2 linked regions of the Mus musculus genome follow. The protein of the gene in region 2 interacts with the protein of the main gene of each other region in a biochemical or structural test. Links are inferred from orthologs where the notes say so. Each region holds a gene or a part of one and is shown on either strand. Other genes may lie near its edges. The genes, in order: Gtf2f1 and Gtf2b.

Evidence for each region.
Region 1: the proteins of Gtf2b (region 2) and Gtf2f1 form a complex in vitro, tested with the Homo sapiens proteins (3 studies listed by BioGRID and IntAct). The link is inferred for Mus musculus from reciprocal best matches to the Homo sapiens genes GTF2B and GTF2F1.

What each region holds. Positions count from the first base shown.
Region 1 is NC_000083.6:57,008,398-57,012,850, forward strand, and holds the start of Gtf2f1 (general transcription factor IIF subunit 1), read right to left. Parts: upstream 2,892-4,453; 5' UTR 2,724-2,891; coding exon 2,712-2,723; intron 2,626-2,711; coding exon 2,579-2,625; intron 1,364-2,578; coding exon 1,291-1,363; intron 1-1,290. UniProt on the Homo sapiens protein: TFIIF is a general transcription initiation factor that binds to RNA polymerase II and helps to recruit it to the initiation complex in collaboration with TFIIB. It promotes transcription elongation.
Region 2 is NC_000069.6:142,778,442-142,782,255, reverse strand, and holds part of Gtf2b (transcription initiation factor IIB), read right to left. Parts: intron 2,565-3,814; coding exon 2,418-2,564; intron 2,287-2,417; coding exon 2,157-2,286; intron 917-2,156; coding exon 635-916; intron 1-634. UniProt on the Homo sapiens protein: General transcription factor that plays a role in transcription initiation by RNA polymerase II (Pol II). Involved in the pre-initiation complex (PIC) formation and Pol II recruitment at promoter DNA.

The sequences.
Region 1 (4,453 bases), on a different chromosome or scaffold from region 2:
ACTATGGAAGACACCTGATGTCAACTCTGGCCTTGACAGGCACAGCGTGCCCACATGCATACAAACATCACACACACAGAATACTCTGGTCACAGGGAATGTGGGACTTACTACAATAACAGTAAAGCAGACTGGTTCATGAGATCATGGAGTACAGAGACTAAAGATGTATAGTGACCACCTGAGGAAGGCCCAGGAGCAACCTCAACAATATGAAGATAGTGACATTTTAACATGGCACCCAAAAGAGTGGATAGTTTAAAACTTTGGCCTTTAACATTTTTTTTTTATTCTTAGTATTATCTAGAAAGTCCTGTTATGTAGCCCAGGCTGGCTTCAAACTTATGATCCTCCTGCCTCTACCTCCCTGGTGCTGGGATAGTAGTATCTCTGGCTATACCCATCTTGTGGAATCATTTTATCCTTTTGAGACAGGGTCTCACTACAGTGAAATTCACCATGCAGACCAGGCTGGCCTTGAAGTCTGAGATCCACTGACTCTGCTGCTTTCGAACTGGCAGTAAAGGTATGTGCCACTACGGCCAGCTGGCTTTTTCTTAAAAACAAAAACCCCAAACTTTTAAAGTGTATTTCTTTTTGTGGAGGTTGTACATGACATTGCCTGTATGAGATCCAAGGACACACTTGGAGCCACCTCTTTGCTCACTGAGTTATCTTGCTACCCACTACTTTACTTTTTTAAGACATGGTCTGTGGCTGGCAAGTGGTGGCGCACACCTTTAATCCCAACACTTGGGAGGCAGAGGCAGGTGGATTTCTGAGTTGGAGGCCAGCCTGATCTACAAAGTGAGTTTCAGGACAGCCAGGGCTACACAGAGAAACCCCGTCTTGAAAAACCATTAAAAAAAAAAAAAAAGACACCGTCTATATGTATCGTGGGCTTTACTGTGCAGGCAAGGATCATCTTCAGTTTGAGGTCCTACCCCCTTCCCGTGCTGGGATGACAGGCGTGTGCCACCATGGCTAGTATACATGGCGCTGGGGATCCAGCTTGGCCTCATATATGCTAGATTCGTGCTCTACTGACTGAACCACATCCTCTGACATGCTTTGCTTTGCTTTGCACTTCTTTTCTTTGGAGCTAGGATTTATGTAGCACAAGCTGGTCTAAAACACTCAGTCTTTCTGCCTCAGCCACCAAATGGCTGGAATCACAAATCTGCTGGAGCCACAGGTGTGGGCACCATCGTTTCAGTAAAGTTATTACTATACATAGTCACCAGCCCAGGGTTAGGTCCCTGCCCCAGCCACCCAGAATCACCCACTTACCTGGTTCCAGGTAGCAAAGTTGACTTTATCGGCTGCATTAAAAGCCATTATGTTGTATCTTTTGGCTGTGTTCCTGGAATGGGCAAGAAACTATTCAATCTATTGATTATTCATTCAACAAATCTATGCTTTACACCCTTGGTTGTAGGTAATTCTGGGAACTCATAAAAGACTCCAGAGCAATGGTTCTAAAGCTCTGACCCTCTAATACATCTCCTCATGCTGCGGTGACCCAATCATAAAATTATTTTTGTTTAGTTCACAACTGTAAGCTATAAATGGTCATGTAAATATCTGTGTTTTCCGATGGTCTTAGGCAACCTGCAAGTTGAGAACCACGCTCTAGTTTTTCAGGGGTTTTGTTTTGTTTTGTTTTAAAGAATCAAGATCCATCTCATCCAACCCAACCCCATCAGATAAAGATCCACAGACACTAGGCTCTCTTACAGCATCACATACAGAAAGAGTGAGAGCGAGAGCAAGAGCGAGAGTGAGAGAGGAGAGACAAGAGAGAACATTCATACACATAGATAATAAATTAAATCTTCAAGAAACAAAGGGACCACCAGGCAGAGTTGGCACATGCCTTTAATCCCAGCACTTGGGAGGCAGAGGCAGGTGGATTTCTGAGTTCGAGGCCAGCCTGGTCTACAAGGTGAGTTCCAGGACAGCCAGGGCTACACAGAGAAACCCTGTCTCGAAAAACCAAAAGAGAAAAAAAGAAAAAAGGAACCAAAAGTGCGGAGGACCCCTATGTAGAAAGAAGGGCAGGCAGGCAAGGGTCTTAATGGATCTGAGTGGGTTCAAAGCCAGCCTGATCAAACCATCTGAACTACACAGTAAGACTCTTGTCTTCAAAATAAACAAAACTTAAGAGGGGGCTGGGTGTGGCTCGGTGGTGGAGTACTTGCCTAGCATGTACCCACCTAAAATAAAGTTAGAAGTTGAGGGACATGGCACTTGGCACAAAAAAACAGGATGTATACCACCTGTGACCAGTTTGGGGTTTTCTTTTATTTTGGGACAGGACCCGACTATGTAGCCCTGGCTGTCCTGGAACTCACTATACAGACCTGGCTGGCTGCGAACTCACAGAAATTCTCTTACATCTGCTTCCCAAGTGCTGAGATTAAAGGCAGTCACCATGTCTGACCTGACCCGTCTGACTCAGGGCAAAGTCACCGACCCCTGACATTAACTACCAAGGGGTAACTGTTACTGTGTCTTGGACGGGGTGGCAGGGGAACACAGGGCCGAGGTTCTGGAGTGTGGGTGGACGGGGACTTACTTGGGGACTCGGACGACGTACTCGGTGACATTCTGGCTGCTGGAGCCCTGCAAGAGAGCAGGGGTCTGTAAGGCGAGGAGAGGGCGCGGGGTCTGTTCTGCGACACCTCTGTCCCCACCTCATTCATACTCACTAGAGCCGCCATGGCCGTTGCTCAAGCTGCTCCCGGTCGGCCTGACGGGATGAACTTCGTTGTGTCCCTCGGCTCCAGGAAAGGGAAGGCACCTTTCCTGGTTGTCACGTTAGTGTGATGCTGTGCTTTGGATTTCCAAATCCTTAAGTCTCGGAGAATGCTGGAAGACGAGAAAAAGAGACCTAACTCTCTGCGCATGCGTTAGAGCCTGACCCGGAAGTTGAGCTGCCACACCGAGAAGAGCGCAGCCGCTGTAACTACTCTAGATCACCAGCTTCGGAGAGAAAGCCACCTTTTGGCGGCGTTCTCTGTTTATATACCACGGAAAAGTCACGTGTAGACACGCCCGTCGTGACGTCACGACGCAGGCACCGCGGAGCATCCTGGGTAGGGTGGAAATGGAGTCTCCTGGTAGACGCGAACTCGATCCTCTTGCGCAAGCGTAAATGTGTCCAAGAAGCGGGAACGGAGGCCGAGTTGCCATGGCAACCGAGGCCCACTCTGTGGGGTGGCTTCTTCGGCTCTTCTGGGGCGGGTCTGAGGTTCAGTTTTCTGTGTCCTGGGATATGGGGATCCCGAGGATCTTGCAAAATGAGTCCCTTGTGACGTAGAGCGGAGCCGGGGACTCGGTGCAGGGTGGAGACAGGGCCCCAGCGTACCCCGGCATTGCGGGCGGGATGGGTCTGTGCGAGTCCACGCTGCCCCAGCTGGGCAGAGCTTTGAGGCCCCAGGAGAAGGGTAACGACGTGGGGTGGTTGGTTTACATGGGCCAACGAAAGGGGGAGATGGGCAAGTATCCCCACTACCTGGGGGTGTACACCAACCCCTGCACGGAAGGAACGCATCTGCGCATGCTCCCACCTCACTGTTGGTTGATGCCTTTGGCATATAACTTGAGTAGAGGAGCCAGTGTCGGAAATGGAAAGTACTATTCTCTGGGGACAAATCAGAGAAAGGGAGCCTACGGGATGCAAAGGAGTTGGTTAAGCAGAGGGGCAAGGGAGGCACAGGCATTGAACTTGAGAGGAATGAGATAGGCTGATTCCATGACTGTCTTTGCATAAACAACTGACTCCACAGATGTGTCTAGTAGGGGAGGCATTCATTTCTCCGCCTTCAGGGAGTGCGCCTTAAGTTACAGAGGCTGGCTAGGAAGACCAAAGTGAACTGAAAGGGACAAAGAACGAGGGCTGACTGCGGAGGAGAGGAAAGGGCAGAGAGGTCTTATCCCAACTCAGAGGTTGTGTGACTAGAGGCACAAGCAGGCAGCATAGAAAGGACCGCATGGTGGGCGGAGCAGGGTGCTACTGGGTGAGTTTGAGGGCCCTCTTCTTTATCTGTAAAATGGGGTGATGGAGTCACTAAGGCACTTCATGGAGGTCTGTGCAAATGGCTCAGGAAAATCCCCACAGGGGGATGCTTCAACGTGAGTCCAGGATTTCTTATAGACTTGCACTAGTACCATCTTTCTTCCCTGAACACCATAGATATCCTGAGGTATCCCCTGATCATCTTCGTGGTGGGGGGGCCCGGCTGCGGGAAAGGGACCCAGTGCAGAAACATGGCTCTGAAATACGGCTTCTACCATGTGGAGCTGGGCCAGCTGCTGCGGGAGGAGGCTCAGAGAAGCACCCAGAGGGGACGGCAGATCCGGGACATCATGCAGAAGGGACTCCTGGTACCCACGGTGAGAGTTCACAGGAGTTCATGGGGTCACTCATGGCTGGACGGAGTCCCCAGGA
Region 2 (3,814 bases):
CTGAGCTAACATGTCATTGATTTCCACTCAAGAGTGCCCGCCTAGGGACTCGGTTTTTGACCATGTATGACCACAATCCCAGATCCTAGCTGAGATGTCATCACTCTGCCTAAACATAAACCCCCTCTTTAGCCTGGAAGTGTAACTTCACTGACCTCCACCTGTGAGATGGATGAACCCACTTGAGAGGTGCTTCCTAATAAACTTGCCTTTATCTACTTTAATCTGGTGGAATCTGGCCTATATCTGCATCACCCAGGGAGAGTAACCACTGAGAAGCTGTGCATGTTCCAGTAAATCCCTTCACAAAAGACACATATGAAAATTAAACAATTTAATTTGGAAAAGGAGCCTTGCACACAGGCTGTATACCTCTAAATAACCACTATAAGCAAGCTACTGTACTTTCTTGAGGTATTGTTTTGTTGTGAGGCTAGGAATGAAAACCAGGCTCTCAAGCACACTAAGCAAATAATCTCTTGGTGAAGAGGACTCTGTCCAATCCTTCCTCCTTATGAGTTAATGCTTCTTCAAGGATCTGAATAGTTAACCCTTTCCATGGGAGATTATGAGTAAGACCACTACACTCCCAGCCTTGCCATCTCATTGGCTGATGTCCTGATGAAGCTCCTACCTTTCTGTGTTCGCTTCTCAGCTGAAGCCTGGGAAGCCATGTAAATAGCTGCTGCCGCCACAGAGATCGGGCTCCTGCCAGGAACCAAGTCCAGCTCCACTGCCTTGCGGGCTATGTGTGTAGCTGCCATCTGCACTTGCTTGGGGAGGCAAAGGTTGGAGCAGAACCTGGACATGAAGTCCCCAGTTGTGATCAGATCCACGCTGGTTTCCAGAGCTTTCAAAATCAGTTTAAAACAGCGGCCAATTTCTTTCTTAGAGATTCGAGACACAGCACATATTTCTAAAAGAGAAAGTATTTTTAAAGAATTTGTAAGACAATTCATTTTATAAACTTTATTATAAAATTAAGTAATAAATAATTATTATTTATTATTAATAAATTATTAAAATATTCTGGTTGTAAAAAATTCAATCAAGGCTTAAAGATGAGCCCTAAATCCTCTCGGAAGTACTTCCTATGGAGCTTATTTATTCAAAACATATTGGTTTATATTTTCACCACACTTTGGACTGTTTTCTTTCAAAACACAAACTTATCTAGTTCAATTTATACAATAAGTTTCTCCAAGGAATCAACTTCTCTGACAGCCTGGTAAGAAATGTTCTAAGGAGAAGAAAGAAAACACTCAAGCTGGAGAATGCGAGTGCACATGTATGACCTGCAACTGTCTGCATGCTGTCGCTATATAAGCTAAACTCTTACCCCTGTTTGAGCTGTTACAGCAAAAGAGCTGTGCTAGTCATCCCTCTACCCGTGACTTAGGAAAGCTTATGAAAATGCTCATTGGATATGGTGACTATAGTCCCGACCTGGACCTGGTCAGTGATGGGCAGTGTAGGTATCACCACAACACTGGAGGAGTTTGTCCTGAGGAAACACAAGCTCGACAAAAGCCAGCACTTAAATCAGAAGTCCTTAGTTTGCATAAAACTGCAAACAATAAGCCTCAAAAAACAAAACAAAAATGAAACAACAACCTAATTACATTGACCCCTTCCAAGACCTGACCCCTCAAATGTGAAACCTATGCTGGCTGTGGTTTCCATCACCAGCTATATATGTAACTTCAAAAGCCTCTCCAGCAGATGATGTCAGGGCTCCTATAAAGCAGTCAGCTGTGGGGTTGGAGAGATGGCTCAGCAATTAAGAGCACTGGCTGTTCTTCCAGAGGTCCTGAGTTCAACTCCCAGCAACCACGTGGTGGCTCACAGCCATCTGTAATAGGATCAGATGCCCTCTTCTGGTGCCTCTCAAGACAGCTACAATGCACTCACATACATAAATAATTAAAACAAAAACAAAAAAAAAACCAGTCAGCTATACTGTTGACTTACAGGGATTAAAATGCTACCTGCATAAGCAGCTTGCAAAGAACATGGCAAAGAAGCCTGTCTTGTACATTTTTCTGTCAAAGAACATACAGAGCCACTGGCAAACGGTGTGTACATGGATCACTGTGCAGTGTCATTAAGCATTGACGCTGCCTGTCTGAGCTCTACTTGGTACAACTGAAGCCTACCTTTAAATGTCCTGGGAACGCCTTCTTGTCTACAGGCGATGTACAGACAAGCAGAGGCTATCGCGTCATTAGCTCTGCCCTTCAGGCTCTTCTGCTCATACACTTGCTTGAATAAATTATTTGTTCGATCCTTCAAAGCAGAGAAACTTAGTTTAATTAAGTCTAGGCCATTTAATCACTTACAGTATCAAAATTGTATGTATTCATTAAATTATGCAGAGTAAAGTCAGAATGGCTTGGAGGAGGCGGATAAGAACTTACAACTATATTGCGAGGGAGGTTGATTCTGTCCGCCATGGTCGTGATTTCCTTGAATGCGTTCATCATTGCTCGATCAGAGCTACTCATTGTTCTCCGGTTCTGATACTTAGAATTGCCAAACTCATCAAAACTTGCAGCTCCTGTACCCTATAAAACAAAGATTTAACCTTGGTCAACATTTTTGGAAAATGTGAACAGTGTCTATGAAAATGTAATGTACACACTCTGACTCCATATGCCCCGGGAGTCTGTCCAGTGGAGCCTGTGACTCAAACAGAAACTTCCATTAGAACATGCTTTAAAGAGGTTGGTTTCAGGAATACTTAAATCTTGGCAATTGCTCAACAATACAGAAAATGGAACTATATGCCATGTTAGAGCTTTCCTACTGCACAATCTTGCTTTGTTTATTTTTTGAGACAGGTTCTTACTATATAGGCCTTAACTGGCTACGTAGCCTGGAGAGATTCTCCAGCTTGACCTGCTGCCTGAAGACAGCTCTAGGATTGAAGTTTGTGACTATGGTGGGGTGTGTATGTATGTATGGCCTTTGGTAGAATCATTACTTGGGTCCATCACTGGTTCCCCATCTGGGGTAAACAGATGTTCATGTTGGATCTCCTCATAAAAAGTCTTACACAACTGATACCAAAGATGGTAACGTTGTTTGTAAAAATATGTAATAGGTATCTGCCTGTGTGTGTGTGTGTGTGTGTGTCTGTGTACCAGTGCATTACTGATGCCAAGGGAAATCAGAGGAATCCCTTAGGATTGCAGTTACAGTTTGTGAGCCAGGAATTTCACCCAAGTCTTCCAGAAAAGCAGCCAAATGCTCTTAATCCCAGCCCAAGTTTCTAATGTTGATTACAAGACTGTAATTTTTTCTTCTGTAGACAGTCAGCCTCTCTCCCCAGCCATCCCTGTCATTGCTCAATGGACACATGAACAAAGTGGCCATGGTGGTCGAGATGGAGGTTATGCTTGGGCTCAGCAACACGGACTTCCACTCACCAAGGCCGACCTGGCTACAGCTCCTGCAGAATGCCAGATCTGCCAACAACAGAAACCAACACTGAGCCCCAGATATGGCACCATTCCTCGAGGTGACCAGCCAGCAACCTGATGGCAGGTTGACTACATTGGACCACTTCCTTCGTGGAAAGGACAGCGTTTTGTTCTTACTGGAGTAGATACTTATTCTGGTTATGGATTTGCCTTTCCTGCACGTAGTGCCTCTGCTAAAACCACCATTCACGGACTGACAGAATGCCTTATCTATCGTCATGGTATTCCACACAGTATTGCTTCTGACCAAGGAACTCATTTCACAGCCAGAGAAGTACGACAATGGGGAAAAAAGTTGGCAGACTTTCACAATACTAACACTGGTGACTCTT